4 linked regions of the Schizosaccharomyces pombe genome follow. The protein of the gene in region 3 interacts with the protein of the main gene of each other region in a pairwise test. Each region holds a gene or a part of one and is shown on either strand. Other genes may lie near its edges. The genes, in order: gyp1, ntu2, ntu1 and SPOM_SPAC30D11.14C.

What was found.
Region 1: the proteins of ntu1 (region 3) and gyp1 interact in a two-hybrid assay, tested with the Schizosaccharomyces pombe proteins (one large-scale study listed by BioGRID).
Region 2: the proteins of ntu1 (region 3) and ntu2 interact in a two-hybrid assay, tested with the Schizosaccharomyces pombe proteins (one large-scale study listed by BioGRID).
Region 4: the proteins of ntu1 (region 3) and SPOM_SPAC30D11.14C interact in a two-hybrid assay, tested with the Schizosaccharomyces pombe proteins (one large-scale study listed by BioGRID).

What each region holds. Positions count from the first base shown.
Region 1 is NC_003423.3:782,807-787,646, forward strand, and holds gyp1 (GTPase-activating protein Gyp1), read left to right. Parts: upstream 1-1,759; 5' UTR 1,760-2,306; coding exon 2,307-3,851; 3' UTR 3,852-4,339; downstream 4,340-4,840. UniProt on the Schizosaccharomyces pombe protein: Stimulates specifically the GTPase activity of ypt1. Functions on the Golgi as a negative regulator of ypt1.
Region 2 is NC_003423.3:804,037-809,948, reverse strand, and holds ntu2 (membrane-tethered transcription factor), read right to left. Parts: upstream 3,875-5,912; 5' UTR 3,116-3,874; coding exon 668-3,115; 3' UTR 505-667; downstream 1-504. Other genes in the region: mrl1 (cation-dependent mannose-6-phosphate cargo receptor), read left to right, coding at 1-214, 299-424; SPOM_SPBC530.07C (TENA/THI family protein, domain found in context with a broad range of enzymes), read left to right, coding at 4,856-5,584.
Region 3 is NC_003423.3:4,241,745-4,247,977, forward strand, and holds ntu1 (regulatory protein ntu1), read left to right. Parts: upstream 1-2,000; 5' UTR 2,001-2,255; coding exon 2,256-2,345; exon of another isoform or gene 2,346-2,413; intron 2,414-2,615; coding exon 2,616-2,646; intron 2,647-2,753; coding exon 2,754-5,116; 3' UTR 5,117-5,682; downstream 5,683-6,233. Other genes in the region: DNA-binding forkhead transcription factor Fkh2, read right to left, coding at 1-114, 407-918; SPOM_SPBC16G5.17 (transcription factor), read left to right, coding at 6,074-6,233.
Region 4 is NC_003424.3:1,090,544-1,094,898, forward strand, and holds SPOM_SPAC30D11.14C (RNA-binding protein), read left to right. Parts: upstream 1-1,844; 5' UTR 1,845-1,897; coding exon 1,898-3,502; 3' UTR 3,503-3,836; downstream 3,837-4,355. Other genes in the region: tcd1 (Moeb/ThiF domain-containing protein), read left to right, coding at 186-1,592; small ubiquitin-like modifier-conjugating enzyme Hus5, read right to left, coding at 3,957-4,017, 4,073-4,152, 4,202-4,311, 4,354-4,355.

The sequences.
Region 1 (4,840 bases), 3.5 Mb from region 3:
CATCTTTGTAGATCATATAAATGCTTAAGTGTTGAGTCAATGACACATAGACTGTACTTGTCTATTTAATTTGTCTAACGTATTACATTCATAAAAAGCGCGTAAACGTGTTGAGTCTTATAGAAGTTGTTATGACTAGCAATTCAAGAACAAGTCTGATTCATAACATTATTTAACATTTCTTTATTCCATTTCATTTTATTCTTTCTCTATGTTAAAATTCTTGACTTTGCAATATAAACAGACAAATATGCACCAAGTAGCTTGTACAAATAGCTCCTAAACGATCTTTGAATGCATGAAGATAATATTCTATATACCAAGGATTTGAATACTTCACGATCTTACTGTATGAATATATAAACAATAAATAGAAAATTTCTAGTGAATCGACAGTACTCTGACTGATTATTAATTTTTTCTTTAAAATGTTTAAATATTCTACTTTAAACGTCTACGGCCATACCTAGGCGAAAACACCAGTTCCCGTCCGATCACTGCAGTTAAGCGTCTGAGGGCCTCGTTAGTACTATGGTTGGAGACAACATGGGAATCCGGGGTGCTGTAGGCTTCCTTTTATTCTTTTTGCTTTTTGTTTGAGCTCATTTGGGAATAATAATCATTTACCTTGATTCGTACTTATTCATTTCAATACCTTTGCACATAATATTATTGTGTACTATGAATGATATTTTGGCAACCAGGAAATCTTCTTACAAGTCGTAATACGACTTAAAGGGAAGATGTATGGTTTATTTTATTGTCATACAGTAACCTTTATTATTGGATTGGAGTTGTAGTTTCGATTTCATCACAATGAATAACGATACTCTAGAGTGTTTTCCAAGATGTAAACGAGAGAAGGAAAGTGTTTTTTGGATGATTATTAAACTTACTATAATTTTTGATTGTTCTCAATATAAAATTTATCTTAGTACATATTTATTTTGTTCTCATGTCAGTTTTGGAGAACATACATTACAATTTCTTGACAAGACAACATTTGGAAAATTGCTCTGTTCATTAAAACATTGAAAACCGTATATGTTTTTTAAATCATTCCTCTTCAATGCATTTGTTGAAGTAATTTTACTGAATCAAAGATATAAATACATGTTTGAAAACAAATACCCGAAACTGCTAAAAAAAAGACTGGGATTGAAAGTTAGACTAGATTCGTTGATCATCTACTTGAAAAATGTGTTTTGTTAGAAATATATAGGAACAGGAAAATCTTAGACTGTATTTCAGGAAAATTTAAACTTAGTAGGTATTAAAATGCTTATAATTCATCGTATTATATTAGGTAACTAGGATGTCAATACGAAAAATAACAATAAAATCAGAGATTCATTATTGACAGGAAATACTTTTTTACGTTTCTTAATCAACGTTTATACTTTTCTCTTTTTTGTTTTGAAAAGCGACTAGTCACAATTGTCAAAATTACATTGTTCACTTTTACTGGCAGCAACTTAAGTAAAGAAGAGATAGAACTCATAGATATAAACATTGTTAAATGAGACCTAGCTGTGTATCTTTTACTACTCTGCGCATATAAACCCAACATTCCCAAGCAATAAGACCATGCACGGCCAAAATCCTTCTATCAACTGTTCATGGCTTAAAACGAATTTCCTTTAACTAAAAAGTGAGATAAATAATTAAAGTATTAAACCTTGCTCCTTTTATTAAAAAAACCTCATATATAAGAAACTCCATACACCTACTGTTTTCCTCCCTATTGTTTTGTTCTTCCACCAAATAAGGGCAACTGCCTTGGCAACTGCACAGACCGAGTAAATCTTCACAATTTCGTTGATATTCGGTTAAAATTTGTAAATATACTAGTGTATTGGATTGTATCTAAGGTTTTCTCGAAACATTTGTTCGTGTTCAAATTCCGCGCTGTTCTAATAGATCACAAGATCTCGAGCTGGTGCGTTTTCGTTTGGATGGAACCCACAGACACGGCTTTGCTTCTAATAGCTTAAGTTTTTTTTTTTTGAAAATAGTTTTCATTTGATAAGAAAAGAATAAGACTTCAAGTCCGGTAAGTCTATGAGTGGTGCCTAAGATCCTTCGTCGTTAAACATTTGAAGTTATTGCCTTCTAAAACGTTTCATCTACTTTTTACAGCAAATTTTGAAACTGTTTTTTGCATCTTAACCAAAAGTATTTTATTTTGGCGATAAATTCAAAGAGTATCTGTTATTTGCTAAATTTGTTGTGTCCATCAAGGCTATCAAATTACTGCTTCATTTTGTAAAAACAATTTTTCTTCTCGTATTTTAAGATTTTCCACTATGGAATCTCAGTCAAAAAAGTCGTCCGCCTTAAAAACTCTCTCCAGCTTATGGAATGGATCCTCTAGCGCCACTTCGGATCCAGTTACTGTTTTGGATCGAAGCCGGACCCATCACCATCGTGGTCGAAGCACTTCTTCCAAAGCTCAACCGTTCAGATTGGACGACTCTGTTTACTCAGATCAACCCCCAAAAGATCATATCTCTTTGGCCCGGTCCATAACTAGACCCGAATCTGCTAGTGAGTCTAAAATCTATGCACCTTCTGCGAGATCTTCTCTTTCCTTGGAAGCTGTTGTAGGCAAAAAAGTGTCTGCAAAGTTTGCCAAATATTTGTCACAGACAGATGACGATTGGGGAGTTTCGAATATTAAAGCCTCAAAATCTCTTCCTCGTATGGCTCGAAGTACTACTCCAAATTCTTCAAGCCGCTCCTTATTTCCTCAAAATGGCGTGGATACTACCACTTCTAGACAAAAGCTTCATTCGTCTGGTCGTTTTCCTTTACCCGCTAAACTAGCCCATCGTTCTGTAGAAGTTGAGGTTGCTGAAAGCAATGCGCTTGTCTCTCGGATCAAGAAGTTTTCGCGAATTCTTGATGCTCCAATTGTGGATTTAAATGCGCTTCGTACATTGGCTTGGAATGGAATTCCCTCCGAACATAGACCTATTGTCTGGAAATACTTGTTAGGATATTTACCTTGTAATGCTTCTCGTCGTGAAGTCACTTTAAAGCGAAAGAGAGACGAATATAACGCAGCAAAAGATTCCTGCTTTAATACAAATACAGAGCCACCACCTTTGGATCAAACTATTTGGCGACAAATTGTCCTTGACGTTCCGAGGACGAACCCCTCTATTCTTCTTTACCAAAACCCATTGACGCAGCGTATGCTTGAGCGTATTTTATATGTTTGGGCCTCACGGCACCCAGCCAGCGGATATGTACAAGGCATCAGCGATTTAGTTACTCCTTTTATTCAGGTGTTTTTGTCCGAATATATCGGCGATAAGGACCCAATGACATATGACATTGCTCTTCTTGATGAAACTAATCGTAATGATATTGAGGCTGATGCTTACTGGTGTCTTTCTAAATTGTTAGATGGTATCCAAGATAACTATATACATGCACAGCCTGGAATCCGTCGACAGGTGAATAATCTGCGAGAGCTTACTTTACGTATAGATGAGCCATTAGTAAAACATCTTCAAATGGAGGGTGTTGATTTCCTTCAGTTTAGTTTTCGCTGGATGAACTGTCTTTTAATGCGCGAGCTTAGTATTTCGAATATCATTCGGATGTGGGATACATACATGGCGGAAGGTGTCCAAGGATTTTCTGAGTTTCACCTCTACGTATGTGCTGCATTTTTAGTGAAATGGTCGAGTGAATTACAAAAGATGGAATTTCAGGATATATTAATTTTTCTGCAGTCTATTCCGACAAAAGATTGGAGCACAAAGGATATCGAAATTTTACTATCTGAAGCTTTCCTATGGAAATCATTGTACAGTGGAGCTGGTGCACATTTGAAAAGGTAAGGCATAGTAGCCATTTCGTTTTCCCTTTTCAGAGCATTCGTCTTCTTCCTTAATCCCTTGCTTATTTTGGCATAGCAGCCTTTTTCAAATGCCATCCTTCCTATGCATTTTTATAATTAGGTTGACAAATCTCCTTCGTTAATTCATTGTGTTGCTTTTCTATGTTTATGAGCTTATGAGTCTAAGTCTTACTTCTTCTAATAAATTTTCCTTTCATTCACCTAAATAACTTTTCAAGTTTGCTCCTTAACTCAGCTGGATTGAGTTTGCGACTTTTAGAATTTATCATGCAGGATAAAGTATTTCTCTTGAAGAAAGTCTGAACTACCTTAATCATTTTTGGGAAGTTATTAACCCTTGAATTAAATTGTATATTCACTATTACTTATATGTAATTTGTCTTTACTCTTACGTTCGACCGTTCTCTAACCCTTTTCCAGTTTGACTTACGTTACTACTTTACTATTCAACGATTGTTTAGTCCATGGCGTGATACTTTACATGAATCGTTATTAATATCATTTTTTTTTCTCTTCTATGCTAGTCATGTTTTCTTTGGTTTTATCCAAGATTGTACATTACGATTTCAAAGTACGACTTTTGTATTGGTAAGAGATGATGAAAATCGACAAGACTGTACTACATGGTCTGTGTCTTCTTCCTTGATTCGACCAAAATGTATGGATGAATTAGAGTAGATAATGAAAACGCTGTGACAATTTTTGAATATTTATACAACTTAATACAGTTTTTGAACTGAAATAAAGAAGCACGTTCCATTGCGTTATAGAATCATTGTATTACTTTTCATGAAGAAGAAATCATTTATTTATAACTATAGGATCAATTTCTTATCTTTTAAATTTCAATACTCATAGCTTTTTCATGCTGATTTTGCAACTGCTTACCACAACAGCATTTGCAGTGACTGTTTTTCAAACTATATTTACTATATAAGGGAGACTTTGCCTATTACCTCTACGTCTGGC
Region 2 (5,912 bases), 3.4 Mb from region 3:
TTTCTTCTTTGAATGGAAAACGATTCATGCTTGCCCAACAGTGAAGAAGGACTCCACCTTAAATCCTGTATCTGTATTCCTTCTGTTCTGTGCTATTGCCTTTTTAGCTTACTTCGTTGGAGGATTTGTATATCAAAGGGTAGTACTTAATGCACGCGGACTCCGCCAAATTCCCAATTATGAGATGTGGCGCTCTCTATTTGGTTTCATTTCGGTATGTTTGCATGATCTGGTTTATCCATTTCATAAATAAAGCTAATTTTCTATTTTTCCTTATTTACTAACAGTTATAATTTAGGACATAGTGATCATCCTTTATTCTTCCATTCTTTCGATTTTACCCTCAAGTATAACGAGGATGAGAGGCAATAGGAGGAATATAGATTATGTAGAGGACGCGCTTATTGATGATATTGATACGTAAATAAAAATATGTTGGAACTATTTTCTACCTTGCCAGACTGTTCGACATTACCCATTAAGTCTAGTATTTTTACCCTACTCATTAAAAAAAAATTATAGTTACTCAACAAAAGATCTAAATAGCAGTCGTTTACAAAGTCACATTTTCGTGCTTTGTTTTTGGAATATTGTATATATACATTTATTCATATTATCCATGTAAGCCGTAAGTAAATCCTGATTACGAATAATTATGGTGTAGATTTTAACTATTTTGCGAGTCTTTCATAACGTTTTGAGAAAAATGCTCCAAGATTGATGCAGGATCAATATTTACAGTCGGATTAAAGGGTGTGCTATTGTTAAGTGAACTCGACTCTCTGGATTTTCCGTCAGACACATCAGGATCCACTAAACCAAAAGCTTCATTGATTATATCCGAATTTTCCTGCATACTTTCTGCTACAGGATCCACTGCCAGCAGTTCGTTAGGGATCTGAAATTCTTCTTCCAATGGTACATCACTGCGTGAAATGTAAAACGAGGGGTGATGGATTGAAACAGCCTGTGTATGGTAATTTAGCATGCTTGATAATGTGTTGATATCGATAAAAGAATCTTCATTCATGTTGTATGCTTGATAAGGTATTGTTCCTATGTTTCCATCAAAAACGGATTGTTGTTGTCCCTCCGTCTCAACTTGTGGTAATTGAGTGTTAGAATTGCTCTCTTTATCTATCGATTGTTGAGGCCCATTATTAATAGGAACATTCGATTCCGATTCAAATACTTGAGGAGCTTTTGTTGGTGACATCTGTTTATATCCATCCGCATTGGATTCGAGAATCTTCATGAGTGACTCTCTCATTTTGTCAATCAATGGTAAAAGTCTTCTGGTGACGCATTCGTGAGCCAATGCTTCTATTGATTCTCGGGCGACAGAAATATGAATCAGTAAGTTGGTATTTTTAGTTAAAAGAGCTGCAAAAATAAGTGTAACAATTGTGCTAAATCCACAATAAACGGTAGTCCAGTAATATCTGTCTAACGTACGTTTAAGACCCTTGGAAAGGTGACTTAAATTTTGAACACATACAATAGCAGAGTCGACGCATTTACACGCCAAAGTGAAGGCGGTTTGTCGATCTGGCACCTTAAGTGCTTGCATTGCTGGACTGTCAGCTTCAAGGTAATGTAGGAGAGGTCGGTAGATTAACATTCTAAAAGAATAATACACCAACTGTAAGTTGTAGAAAAAATGATTTGCCTGAAATTCTCCAGGTTGCTCGGCCCTAAAAACTCGGGGAAGAGAATTGTAAAAACCATCCAATAGTTGCTCCAAATCTTGGATTACAGCATATGAAATGTGCTTCTTTGTTACGTTTCGTGAATTTGGGGAATATAGCTTGGTCAATATACGACTTGAAATCTTGTAAAGCTTCACACCATGAAAGAAAAACAATCGTGCGTTTGCTTCAATTTCCGTTACCGATGGGAACTTTGGTGTTACAGGTAAACACTGATCAATGTCTTCATCACGAACACCCAACGGAAATCCAAACAAAGTACACAACTGCCGGTCATAACAGTAAATTGCCCAGAAAATACGTCTTCTGCTATCAATTTGTTCCTCCGTAAATCCTTCTGTAATATTTCTATGTAGACCTAACCTAAGACAGCAATTCAAACCTAGTTTCATGTAATACCAGGCAGCGCTAATTTCGGTTCGGCAATACCGATAAATACTAAGAATTAAGAGACATTGGATGCTTTCAATAGTAAAGTTATCCGCGGATTTCACTAATCGTTCGCTGTAAAAACTGTACTTTTTGATTAAACTTTGTAACTCGGTGTTACTGGGGTTATTAAGAAGATGATGATAGTAACCTACACACAAAATAGATAAAAATAGTGGAAAAAAGTTGCCTTGATAATTACCGGAATATAAAAGACGAATCTTTTTGGGGAAATCGGCATAGGTCGTATAAAAAACGATACCGCTAACGTAGCTAACAGCGGCTTTAGTGATACACAAGGCCTCTTCAATTCCTGGGAGCTGAATCTCACGAGGATCAACGCTAGACACCATAAAGTCGATGCTGAATCTAGGAGTAGGAGTAAAGAATTGGTATTCAGGATCATTATCATCGAATTGAATATTTTTATTGCCCAAAGGGTAGGCTGAGTAAGGCTCACATATTTCGAAATCGCCGGGTAAGCGTCGAATAAGATGTTGGATGAGGACGTGAATTGAAGAACCACCACGAAAATATCTAGTTCCATGCTTCGCGTCAACGAACAAATTGCCATAATTAATCATGGAAGTAAAGATTACCTTTCGTTCTGGTGACATGTTTTCAAGCTCGTTAGTGGCTTGAAATTTTTGTTCCCTCAAAAAGAAGAGGAAACTGGGTGAGTTAGAGGAGAGATCAAAGTTTGTATTTTTCTTCAACAGCGTTTCCAAATACCGAACGCGGGATTCCAAATTTTCCACATACTCGGGCGAAAATGAGGACTTTCGAGAGGAAGGCATGTGATAAGTACACTCTAATTTGCCAGCTTTGCAATTCTTACAAGGACGCAAACCATCACACTTGATTTTTTTACGACGACACATATCACAAGCCCGAGTGACACGTCGTCGTCGGGTAGCCACTTTGGCGCCTTCAAGAATCTTGCTTTCGGTTTCCTGACTATGAGATTCATTATCCATTTTGGGACATCCTTTTAATAAACAAAAAATGTAAATAAAGAGCGAAATATAAAAAAAAACTTTTTCAAGTAGTAAAAAGAAACGTCAACACGGGAGATGTAGTTGGAGAAATATGAGCCACAGACAGAGACTTTGTACGGTATAGAGAACGATGGCAAAGTATTATTGAAAAAGGTGAAGTTCAATGGGGGCAGATCAACAGAGTTATGCAATTAAGAATAAAGGGGATGGGACACTATCCAAAAAGAAGGAAGAGTGAAGAAATTGAAAATTAATGTGTGAATGAAGAGAGGTTGGTTGATCTACAAGGGATAACCAAATTAACAAAAATATGGAAATTAAATAAAAGTTTTACAGCAGGTATACCAGCGGTGTATATCCTTGAAACAATTACGAATTTATAATCAAGTCAAAGTGATCTCTAATAATGCAAGCGGACAAGGAAATAATAACAGTATCGATGAAATTCAATTCGTTTTAGCAAAATTACAAAGTAAATGAAAAAAGAAGTGAAAACCAAAATTCAAAAATAATGAATACACAATAAACTCCGTCAACAATCCGGTCTATCGTACTAACTCAACGCATTCAAACGGGTGCTAGAACAAATTTCTGCAATCTAACCGGTATGCCAGGTGAGCAACTCTAGTTCCGTTATTATCGATTATTTCTTCAGAACGCATTCAGATACGGCTTAAACGTATGCAAGATTCGCTTTCCTTCGGCTCGCGAGGATTGGGCCTGGAGAGGTACGTTGTCGGTAAGATTATTTTTGAATGGCAAATAGTGAAACCTCGCTGATTTTAAGGTGGTATTTTAACGAAAGCGGGTAACACAAGGTTTGTCACCTTGAAGGAACTATCCCCCCGGCACTGGAATAAGCACAGCATGGGCGAAACCCAAAGCTCAGTATAGCCGAAAGTCGGTGCACACCCGACATCTAAGCCATCCGTAGTTTTTGTAAGAGAGATAGATTATAAAATGTAGAAGAAAAGAAAGTAAAGATGTGTTGGTAAAGCTCAAGAAAAGCACGGATTACTTTTCGGTACCAAGAGCCAATTATCGTATATAGGCTTATTTATAAGAGAATATAGTAATATTATATTCTGATGTGCAATTTGTTGGTTCTAAATAAGCTCATCATATCAAAATTTCTTTTCTTTGGGCTAGTGCCGAAAAACCAAGGGAAGAAGTGATATTGAAAAGCATAAAGTAATTTAAAAGAATGTAGATAATTAGTTTTGGTATGCTTAATATCGAGATTAACTGTATCGAATTTCAGGACGTGCAGTTATCAGATCATTGATTTAATAGTCATCTACTAACTCTTAAACGCTTAAATGTATTCTGGATAATTACCTTTAACGTTGCTTGCGTACTTTTTTCTAAGGTCATTTGCAGTACATGGTTGAATTAAGCAAACTACTTTTCTCATGATATTTTGCGTTTAAAGTACTTTACTTGAAGCCGGAAATTTGAATGCGAGGCCAGCTGGCCTGGAAACTTTTAGCCGAATTTCTACATATATATAAATTTGGTTATTTGGGAAATGTTTTTTTAACAAAGTAAAAAAAAATAAGCTAGTGTTGAAACTTTTTACTATTTTCACACATCCATAATTTCATTTGCTTATTACAGATCTACTATATCAAAATTTCAAACCAAGGAGCTACTTTAAGACAGTGATTTTTTCTTTTTTTTAATCATATCCATTGTTCGTTTTAGTTCATCTGCTTACCAATGGATCCTTATACAGTTGCAATAATCAAGAAACTCGGAATCGAGGAACAAGTCGAAACTGCTGCGACAAAGTCCCCATTTATCGAAGGTTTGGCTAACGGTACTGCTCCTCCTGGCGCATTTAAACGGTGGCTATACGAGGATCGAATTTATGTTCAAGGTTGTTCGTTGTGTCTTGCCAAAGCCATAAACGCCATCACTCATGAGAAGGGATTTCCCAAGGAAGCATTAGATCTTTTTTTGGGTGCATACAATGTTATCACTCCTGAGCTTGCTCATTTTGAGGCAAGATGCAAAGAGAGCAACGTGGAAATGCCCAAACTCAAACCCGTCCCAACTTCATGGGAACAAGCGTTGCAAGATAACAAGCCTGAAGAATACTATCATCTTTCTGCTCCAGATTGTAAATCATATATTCAATTTATGACTCAGGAGCTTTTCGAAATTCCAGGTACCTCTGGAATTGACTACTTTATGGCATTTTACTTGAATGAAGTAATATACCATAGAGCATGGAAATTTGTTCGTGAATCTAAGCAATTCCAGAAAAACTGCCCAGAAGAAATGGAATTTGTCAAGTGGTGGGGTCAGCCTTCTTTTGGTAAGTTTGTAGAAAATCTGGCTCGCAGCATTCAAGACGTCCCTTTTACCTCTGCTACTGTTGACATTGCCAAGAAAATTTGCAACTTTGAGTATCGATTCTTCAGTACCGCGTTTGAAAAGGCTTAGTTGAATTAATTGACAACATTTTAACTCCTTTTTTCTGATATCACATTATTTTACGTGCCCTTTGATCAGCATTGATCGTCAATCGAATGATTCCTTTTTTTAATTTTTTTGATTAAATGTGTAAAGTCAGTGTATATATCTTGTCAGTACATTAATGAACAAGTGTTCGTCAGCATAGTCATTACATACATAATTTATGTAAAAAATTTGTAACTTCAGTTTCGCTGCATGCAGTCCGTTTTTGCTTATCGTCCTATGAATTTTTAAAGCTTCCCAAATGATGACAAATTGTTGTTCACAAATCGCTTGAAAACGATATTTTTCAACT
Region 3 (6,233 bases):
GAAATTTCAGACTTTATAGCATCCTCCTTTATAGTGCTTTCGTCAGTTTGCTTTTGCTCAGCTGCATTGGGTAGTACGAACATCATTTGTAAACCCGCTACTTCGAGTATAGATCTAGTAGATAATTAGTAAGACGAAAAAGAAATAAAAAAAAATAATTGGCATAATTTCCTGCATTTATTTGAACTAGGACGGAAATAATTATTTTCTTGATAATTTGACAAATCCTTAACGCGCATTTATAAAATAACCAAACATTCGTTTAAAATTGACAAATAACACGAGAAAACCATAGAACTTATGAAAGAGTAAAGCATAAATTATGCGCTGCTGAAACCATCAATATTCCGTCCTGTCGCAAATCACGACGAACCAACACTATTCTAGTAAATGATTTTTAACATACCCACTTGTAAGCTTGACTGTTTCCCCATTCTTGAATAACTTGCCATCTACTTTAATGCCATTTCGACCGTAAACTGAGCAATTCCATGTTTGGTCATCCAAATCATATTCCACAACAGCGTGTTTTCGACTCACAACTTTAGAAGGACCAAAATTCATATCAATTACTTCTAAATCTTCATTTTTCCCCTTTGGTGAAGGATTTGCTGGTTCGCGACCAAGTATAATTCGAATTTTCTTAACATAATAAGTCCATGTACTTCCAGCGAATTTCGCATAAGCTTGTATTTCTCCAGAGTGTCTTTCCGCATTTTTACTGTTCGAATAATCATCGACCACTCTCATTTCGTGAGGTGGAACGGACAACTTCGCAATTTGGGATTCCAGGCGACCATTCAATACAATGTTACGATCTGTGTCTACATCCATTTGCTTTTTGTAATCTAACTGTTCTTTTCTCTCCTCGTCATCTGATATATGCTCAGACTTGCTTTCGAGTCTGCGAACAGTCATTTTTCCTTTCTACAGCAATTGTGCTGTTGGTGTGTGTTTATTTACACTCGTTTGTTGTTGTCAACATTCGTTTACCTTCCGTTGCCAGCGCTTCACGGTATAACTAATATTGACCATCATTTTAGATACATAGAAATTAAAATATACATTTTTCTAAATATTTGTACATTTTTTATTTTTGTCAACAATGCGTCTTTGTTATCGTTGCTATTTATATTTTTGTAAACAATCAAGATACCGGATCTTCGATATACTTTTTTAAATACTAAGCAGTTAAAAAAATCCTCTTAATATATTGGCGTAGGATTAACTTATAAAAAAAAAAAACTCAAACAATCATAACTCTGCAAGACTTGTAATAATTTTAGCTTTTCAGCACTCAGTGTTTTTTGCACATGTAATGGCGTCTAACGGTCGCGTGCATATCCTAGTAATTACCCTATTATTTAAAACGTGTCTACTGAAGATTTATTTTGAGAACTGTACAAGCTATTACATGAATACACTAAGAGTATTAATTGTGTTTTATGGAAATTCCGAATCATTATTTCGCTTTCAATCAACCGATTTTGTGTGGCTGCAATATTAACGCTCAACTGTTTACTCACGTTATTTTCCATATTTTTACTAACTACGCGATTCGCGAAGTCTCTGTAGGATACGTAATATTATTTGGTGAGTTCGTAGCGCACTATAATGTGTGGTACACAACAGAAAGTATTATGCAATATACAGTTACCGAACATAACTCAGGCACGGAGAGACTTTGATATTATAATAAATAATATGTGGCTTACATGAACAGACAAACTTGATCTTGAATGATCTTTATTTCCCATACTTTTTTCTTCAGTAATATTGAAAATAGTCAATAAACGGCTTGATGGTTCCAGCTTCAGGACTCATTGGAGAACTCACACGTGAAGATGTCAGGCTTATAACGATATTTAACATACCGCAACAAAAACATTTAGCATGGTATAATCTCATTGCTTCACCTACACATGTATGCTAACGTGAAGTAACGAGTAATTACTATTTAGCGGATGTATACGATCGCTGGCACACACTCTCGTAGGTTTAACCTGTCGCGTATATCATCCATAATCGCTTCGCAGCGATCACCATTTATTTATTTATTTACCTATCTAAAGCACCAAATTCCTTTAGTTTCAAAGCGTTAAATTTTGAATGATAAACTGCATTTTTGCTCACTTGCGTTAACTTTCGGTTGTAAAAACCGGTAACAACGATTCGATAAATACAAATTAAAAGACCTGTTCTCCCTCAAGTTTGAAGTTAGCAGGCTTCAACATAGTTTATTGATAGGCTGCTGAATGTCTTCCGGCGATGTATCTCGTAGACAGCGTGTTTCTAGAGCATGTGATGAATGTCACAGGAGAAAGATCAAATGTGATCAGAGAAGGGTAAGATGTCAATTTCTTTGCTCTATTTATGTTTTGCATAATTTTATTATTTGAGTTGGGAACTGAGAACTCACTTCACCCAGTTACCGCTTTCTCTGAAGTTGATTGTAGCTTGATTGATTTCAGTTCAGCTAGAGAGCATGCGGATAACCTTTGTCGTTAATTTATTATTTTTTTGGCTTTTATTGCTCTTTTTCTATCTTATTTGCATTAATTTGGATGAGCGATTAGAAATAAATATAAATTTCTGTTCTTTACTAACTTTTTCAGCCTTGCTCGAATTGCATAGCATATAACTATGGTAAGTGCCTACAATTTAGATGAGATTATTTTCTTCAAGTTTAGTCGCTTTAAAATTTATTTCAAGCCTCTATTATAATTGGATGGAGTTTTCTAACTTTGTTGAAGAATGTACTTATGGTCAACCTTTTAAGCGATTACGGCATGCTCCTGAGAAGTATATAGAATTTTTGGAGCTTCGATTGAAATATCTGAGGGGACTGGCTGAAGAAAGCGATCCAAATTTAAAGTTGCCATCATTTCTGGCTCCTCCAAATGACAAAGATTCTCCTGTGAACCAATCTCCTTGGAAACGCTCTGATTCCTCTAAAAGAAGCTCGTCACAGGACGAGTTTGAAAGCTTATTCGACCGGTATGGACAATTGAGTTTAAAAGATGATGGGAAAGCCGACTTTCGTGGAAGTTCCTCTGGCTTTGTCTTTATGAAAAATATACATCAAAACATTGCGAGGAATTCTACGGTTCCCAATCCTGTCCAAGAATCTAATTCATCTTCTTCTCAGCCAGATCCTTTATCTTTTCCGTATCTTCCACCCACCCCTGCCGAAGATGAACATAAAAAACCGCCTCTCAAAATTCAGCTACCTCCATATGAGGAGGCTCTTTCTATTGTTAGCCAATTTTTTATGAATGACCATTTTTTGGTACATATTCATCATCCTGCATCTTTCTTTGAGAAGATGCATATGTATTACAAAACTGGCAAGACTGATAACAATTTTCATTTTTTACTTGTCGCTACATTGTGCTTGGGTTACACCTATATGCCCGATGAATCTCCTAGTGCTAACTATCCTTATCATGAAGCTTACGAGTATTACTATTACATTCGGTCTTCATTTTCATGGGAAGATAGTTATACGATTGAAGTTGTGCAAATTTTATTGTCTGTTGCGCTTTTTGCTTTGTTCAGTTCCCGACTTTCTCAAGCTTATACGTTCACGAATAATGCGTTATTGTGTTGCCACGAATTGGGATTGCACAAGGATTTTTCAGACGTTCTCACATCTCATGAATCTCGGTTATCCAAACGGGTATTTTATTCTGTGTACGTTTTGGCTTGTTACACCAGTACAATTGTTGGTCTTCCTCTCAGTATTGAGGACGTTGATATTGATCAATCGTTACCCAATTCTTTTGATTTCACATTAGAAAATGACCAGGTTCCTCCACGATTAATAGCATCAGAATGCACTAGCTTGGAAGTTTTTATACAACACATAACGCTTTCTCGTATTTTAAGTCATTTTGTAAGGAAAGTGTATCCAGTCAAATCGCCCTCTGACTCACACTGTAAAGTTTCATTACCAGCTGTTCGTGATCATGAAGAAAAACTTACATATTGGTGGAAAAACTTACCTTCTTATTTAAAAATGAGCGAAGTTCCAAAATTTTCACCCAAATGGATCCAAGCAATAATACTGGAATTGAAATTCAGGCAAATAGAACTCATTTTCTATCGCCCTTTTATTCACAGTATTAGTACACCAATTGATAATCAGAATGGGTCGCCAATGAAACCTGCAAATTTTGCTTTAAAGTGTGCACAATCTGCGGAGCGTGTTGTTTTTTTGTTACAGGAATTGGCCAAATCTCCAAATACTCCCAAACTGTTTTTCAATTTGTATTCTGGATACTACGCGTTAATGACCTTGACATATTGTGCTACTTTGACGAAGGACGATGCCAATAAATCTAATAATTTCATAACTAAGGCAAGATTAGGATTTCATTGTCTACAAATGATATACCGCGAATCCACTTACTATAGTACAATAATGGAGGCAATCAAGAACTTGCTAATTGCGTATGATATGAACTCATCTGGTACTGAAAATTTGGATGCGACCCCGGATGTTACAGGACAACTACCAAACAACTTTTCGCAGAGAACTAGTAATATACCTAGAGAGTTTCCGCAAGCACAAATATTTTATTCAGATGCTCCTTACCCAGGTTACTATAATCCTGCCCAGTTTCAAAATGCACCAACAAATTTCCCTATGCCTACGTATGGTGGGCGTACACAGGATCAATCTTATCCTAGACAAAACGGATATCCTTCCTATTCTGATGGTAATGTATACCCTCATGATAGGGTTATGATTAATTATGGTTCTTCAATGCCAACAGCGAATGGTTTTTATGTTCCGAACACCTATTCTCCAGTACCTTTCCCGTATAATACTTCATACCCTCCATACATGAGTCCAACTTCGAATATGCCTCAGGCTTTCCAAGCATATTCACAGTATCCTTACCAGCACCCGCCTTTTCCCTTGTCAGAACAAATGCTACCACTGCCTACTTCAGGGGTTATGATGGCACCTGGAGCTGCAAAATCTGGCATGCCGTATCCCTTCATTCAACCACCTTCCATGACTAACCAAGTTGCTTATCCTACTGTCCGAGATGGTTCTAATAATTCTCCTGACCATCCAAGTTCCTCAAACTCTAAAAGAACCGAGTGAGCGATCAATGTTGTTAAGCATAGAAACTCACTTTTGTTTTCAAAATTTTTTTTTCTGCAATAATTCTTGCTTCACTTTTTATCTTTAATAAGGGTTCTAGCTCCAACTTTTAGGGTTTGCTCATGAGAAAAAACATTGACATTTTTAAAAAACTTATTTTTTGTTCCTTTTAATTAAGTGATATTTTGTTTGGTTGATGATTAGCTTTTTATGTTTATTGAATAATAGAACGATTGAATATCTAGATTATCTGTCTTCCTAGATGTTTGTGATAGATTTGCTTTTTGATCTTTTGATCAAGCTTAGAGAGTTAGCCTACTGCTTCATGTCCATTAGCTAGTGATATTTACGCGCATTATTATCAGCAATGAATAACCAAGTAGTGTTAAAAGCTAAAAATTTTGGAGTAAAGTTACGTTGAAGTTCTACATTATAATGGATTACTGCAAAGCAATTGATGAACTAAAAACTTTAATAGTGTGCATTTTCTTTCACGATGGAATGTATAATTACTAAAATGACAATTAGCTGTTTATTTTGTAAGCAACTGCAAACCCAACTGTGGAACGTATTGTTGAGTACCTTTGGCATCTAGGCTAAAAAAATGATCCCTATAAAAATCTTCTAAATAAAAGCTCTGCGAAAAAAATGGTATCGAGATCTGATGCTTACACTGTATTTTAGACGTTGAAGAATTTAAATAATTAAGCCTGCACACTCAATATTTACCACCACACAACGTTGACACCGCCTTTGCATTCATAAAAATGTTTGCAGTAAAATATTAGTAGTCTCATCGATTCAATTGAAGCATAATCCCAGCTTAAAAGTTCGATGGTTATCAGGTTAATACTGAATGAAACCTTTAGTTTGTGCGTATAATTTTTTATGGTGAATTGTATTTTATAGAAATATCCAACTTTCTACTACAGAAGAAATACCGTAATTAGGTAAATTATGGTTGGGAAATCTAAAAATAGGGCCCACAAAAATATTCGAGCTAGATCTTGTCTGAGATGCAGGCGCCGAAAAGTCAAATGTGACCGCCAATATCCTTGTTCTCGATGTAAAGAGAGTGAAGAATCATGTACATATGGAGTAAACGAGCAAGCAGTCC
Region 4 (4,355 bases), on a different chromosome or scaffold from region 3:
AACACGACTTGTTTTTATTTCATTAAATTGAATAATGTAAATGCCGTTTTCTAATACCTTAATCATTATAGGCTGCAATTACTGTTGCAAAGACCGATTGCACTAATGTTAAGGCAACTTGTCACTTAAAGAAAATGGAAACGCTGCAAGTCGAAGTTTTCTTTCTATTTGATTTTACTAGCATTATGGCAGGTTTCAAAGTCCCTTCGTGGATAACGTATAAATCCTTTTGGATTGCTGTCTCCTCTTCTGTAACGACAGCATGCGTAATCCTTGGAACGTTGGAGTTTCGTAAACATCGCTCAATTCGTCGCTTACAGTCGATGATTGTTCCTGAAGCTGGTAAAAGTATTCAACTTTCTTCTTCTGGTGTACCTATAGAAATTTATGATGCTGGGGAAGAGGATGAAGGAATAAGCAAAGGCGTTCCGTACGATGAAAATCTGATACGTGAACAGCTGGCTCGAAATTATGCATTTTTTGGAGAAGACGGTATGGAGCGTCTGCGCAACTCTTTTGTTATCGTCGTAGGCTGTGGTGGTGTTGGAAGCTGGGTGATTAATATGCTTGCACGCTCTGGTGTGCAAAAAATTAGAATTGTCGATTTTGATCAAGTATCTCTTAGTAGCCTAAATCGTCATTCCATAGCCACGTTGCAAGATGTTGGTACTCCAAAGACTCTTGCTATAAAAAAGGCGATTAAAAAATTTGCCCCTTGGATTGAAGTAGATGCTCGTAACGCACTTTTCAATCCCGACTCCGCCGACGATCTTTTGTCTGGCAATCCTGATTTTGTAATCGACGCTATAGATAACATCCAAACTAAAGTTGATTTATTAAGTTATTGCTACAACCACAAACTTCCCGTAATTGCTTCTACCGGGTCTGCATGCAAATCTGATCCGACTCGTGTTAACATAGCAGATATATCAGCTACTTCTGAAGATCCTTTATCAAGAGCTACTCGTCGTAGGTTGCGTCTCCTTGGTATTATGGAAGGTATTCCTGTCGTATTTTCTACTGAAAAACCAGATCCTAGAAAAGCAAGTTTGTTACCTCTCTCTGAGGAAGAGTTTGAAAAAGGAGACGTTGATGAGTTGAGTGCTTTACCCGAATTCCGTGCTCGTATTCTTCCTGTAATAGGACCTATGCCTGGTATTTTTGGACTTACAATTGCTACTTATGTTTTGACTTCTATTGCTAAATACCCTATGGATCCCATTTCTACCATGACGCGTCCTCGCTTATACGAAGAGGCTGTTAAACGTTTACATGCTGAAGCTCGCAAAGCTGGAGTAAACCTAGATAAAACTTTTAATGCATCTGAGATGTCATATATCATTGAGGAGGTTTACGTTGGTAGAAGCGCTCTTCCCCCGCATGAGTCTCAAAAAGTCACTGTTGTTCGATGGAACCCACAATTACCTTTTGATCACACCAATCTTGTAGCTATGACACGGAACGAAGCTCGCTATCATGAAGATAATGTCTTAGCAAAGAATGTGGATCCTTCTACAGTATATGGCAAGGATGTAATTGAGGTTGTTCACAGTTTTCTAAGGCGATTACGAATGTGGGAAATGCTTTATTGAAAAACTTGTCACTATAATTGAGTTTATTCTTCTGATAGAATTTGTTTTCAGAGCAGTACAAATAGGTAATTTAAGCCTTTGCTGACTGCATGTATTATAAATAGATAAATAAACAAACAAATAAATAAATATATATATATATATGAAATTGCCATTTGCTCAAACATGTAAAACATCCACCATACATTTGTCTTAAAAAATTATTATATAACGTGCTTCGTTCAACCTCCTTCTTTGACTTTTTCGTATAAGCACTACTTCTACTATGTCCACACAGTTTGCGTATATAGCTAAAGTTAAGTTTCATGTCTGATTCAAGACAAAATTCCCAACGGGAAGATAATTATTCTCGGGATAGACGATCTAGGTTTACGGAGGATTCGTATAGTAGAAGAGATTCACAGCGGTCGGGCAATGAGGCACCCCGAGAATCAAGATATTATCGCAAAGAAGAACACCTTCAAGAGCGTTCTCGAAGTCGAAGTCCTGCTAGAGATTCAAGATGGAAATCTTCTTCATCAGGTTTTGCCCCAGCGCATCCGCCAATCGAAGAACCGACAAACAATGGAGCTGAGGCAGCAGCTGCTGCCGCCAGACGGATCGCCGAATCATTACAAAGTACAAAAGCAACGTCCAGCAGGACTTCATATGATCATTCAGAAGGGATAACCTCAACGACATCTGCGTCACCTCCAAGTGCACCTGCTCCTCCACTTCCTCCAAGTTCTGAGGGACCCGCAGTTGATATTCCTCCGTCTATGGCCGATATTACTAGCAAGGTTATAGAAGGGGACGGTGTCTTTATGCAGGATGTTGAAATTAACAATGTGCGTAATCGCTACATTTTGGTGCGTGCCTCAACCCTTTCTGAGATCGAGAATAAAAGTGGCGTGCAATTATTTTCCAAAGGACGATATTATCCAAATAAAGCTTTAGCTACTGACAAGGATCCTCCACTCTATCTCCACATAGTATCGCATAACAGGAAAGATCTAACGGTTGCCCTGCAGGAAATTGAATCTTGGATTAATAAAGACATGGGTCCTTTAATCGACGAGCGAAGATTTCGCCGCCGAGAAGATAATGAAAGGAATAACTCTAACTCGCCTCGTAATTTTTCAACGCATGGCAATGGTAATGGGGAAAACGGTCAACCGCGACGAAAGTGGCTAGAAGAAAAAGTATATATTAATTTAACTCCAAGTCGTGGATTTCATTTACGTCAAGCAATTGTTGGCCCACAGGGAGCATATGTAAAGCATATACAACAGGAAACTCGCACCCGTGTTCAGATTAAAGGGCAAGGTTCTGCTTTCATAGAGCCATCGACAAACCGCGAATCAGACGAACCTATACATTTGTGCATCATGAGTCACGATCCTAATGCCATCCAAAGAGCTAAGGTTTTATGCGAGGATTTAATAGCCAGTGTCCACCAACAGTATAAAGCTTGGAAGTCACAACCAAAAGATCGTGATCAAAATCAAGGAAATCGTGCCTACAATCCACCAAACCGGAATCAGGCATTCTCCGCACGAGACTCACGACAAGAAAAAACTCAACCAACTAATGCTTCCCCTGCACCATTAGTAACACCATCGTTACCCGTACCATCTATTCCAGCTGTTCCAGGAATGGAAGCTATGGCAATGCCTCCTGGTGTCACTTCATCTATTGCAGTACCGACGACTTCTTCTATGCCTTTACAGGGTATGCCTACTATGTTTGGTGCTCCTGGAGTTAGTGCTCCTGGTACAGAAGCACCAGGGACTGGTACGCCTGGTTTAACTACTCCAGGAGTAGATCCGTACGCAGCTTATGGAGGATACAATGCGTATGTACAATATTATCAACAGCAAATTTATGCTCAAATGCATGGTGTCAGCGGTGATCAATCGCACCCACAGTAGATAGCGTTTGAGCATTACTAAAAAGAATGTTTATTGTTGATCATTAAAATACTATTTTTGGTTGCTTAATGTTCTGAAACCTTGATTGTGCTTATTAAAGTACATTCTACTGTCTTAGTTGTAAAAAAAAAACACTATATTTAAATAGTGACCATTTTTTGAGGGCATACAATTATTAAATTATAGTTTACTTTCTAATTGATTTAAAGGAATTTGTCGAGGTAAATTCTATCACTTAAGACGTGGTTGATTTAATGAACTTTTTAAAAAAAACATATTTAAATAATTAGTGGTATTATCTTGTATCAATCTTTTATCCTAACAAACAAAAAGCAACCGACTTGTGAAACCGCTAATAAGATTGAGATTTTATCTCAACTAGTCAAGCAAAGAAATATACACATCAGGAAAAATAATATTAAACAATAAAAAATAAGAAAAAGTACCAGTCAGTTTATGGAGCATTTTCACGAGCCTGAGCACGAACTCGTTTTTCGTACTCGACTTTATCCTTTCTAAACGAGGTTAATTATATTTGATGGTTGTGGAAACAGTAGTTATGATACTTACTTGAACATTGTATATGCTTCTGTTTGAGCGGGAGAGGCAATATTAGGATCATCTAAAAGATCCTGAATACCCAGCAAAATCTAGAAATGGTTAAAACCTGGAGATTAAGAAATTGATTTGAATTCTTACCTGCTTAATTGTAATTGCCGGTTTCCAGCCTTCTTCTTCATTAAGTATTGAGAGACAAACGGTGCCAGAAGGATAAACGTTTGGATGAAATAACGGTGGAGTAAACCTACCTGTACAAAAGCATTAGCAAAAAATCGTAGTTATATGCTTACAT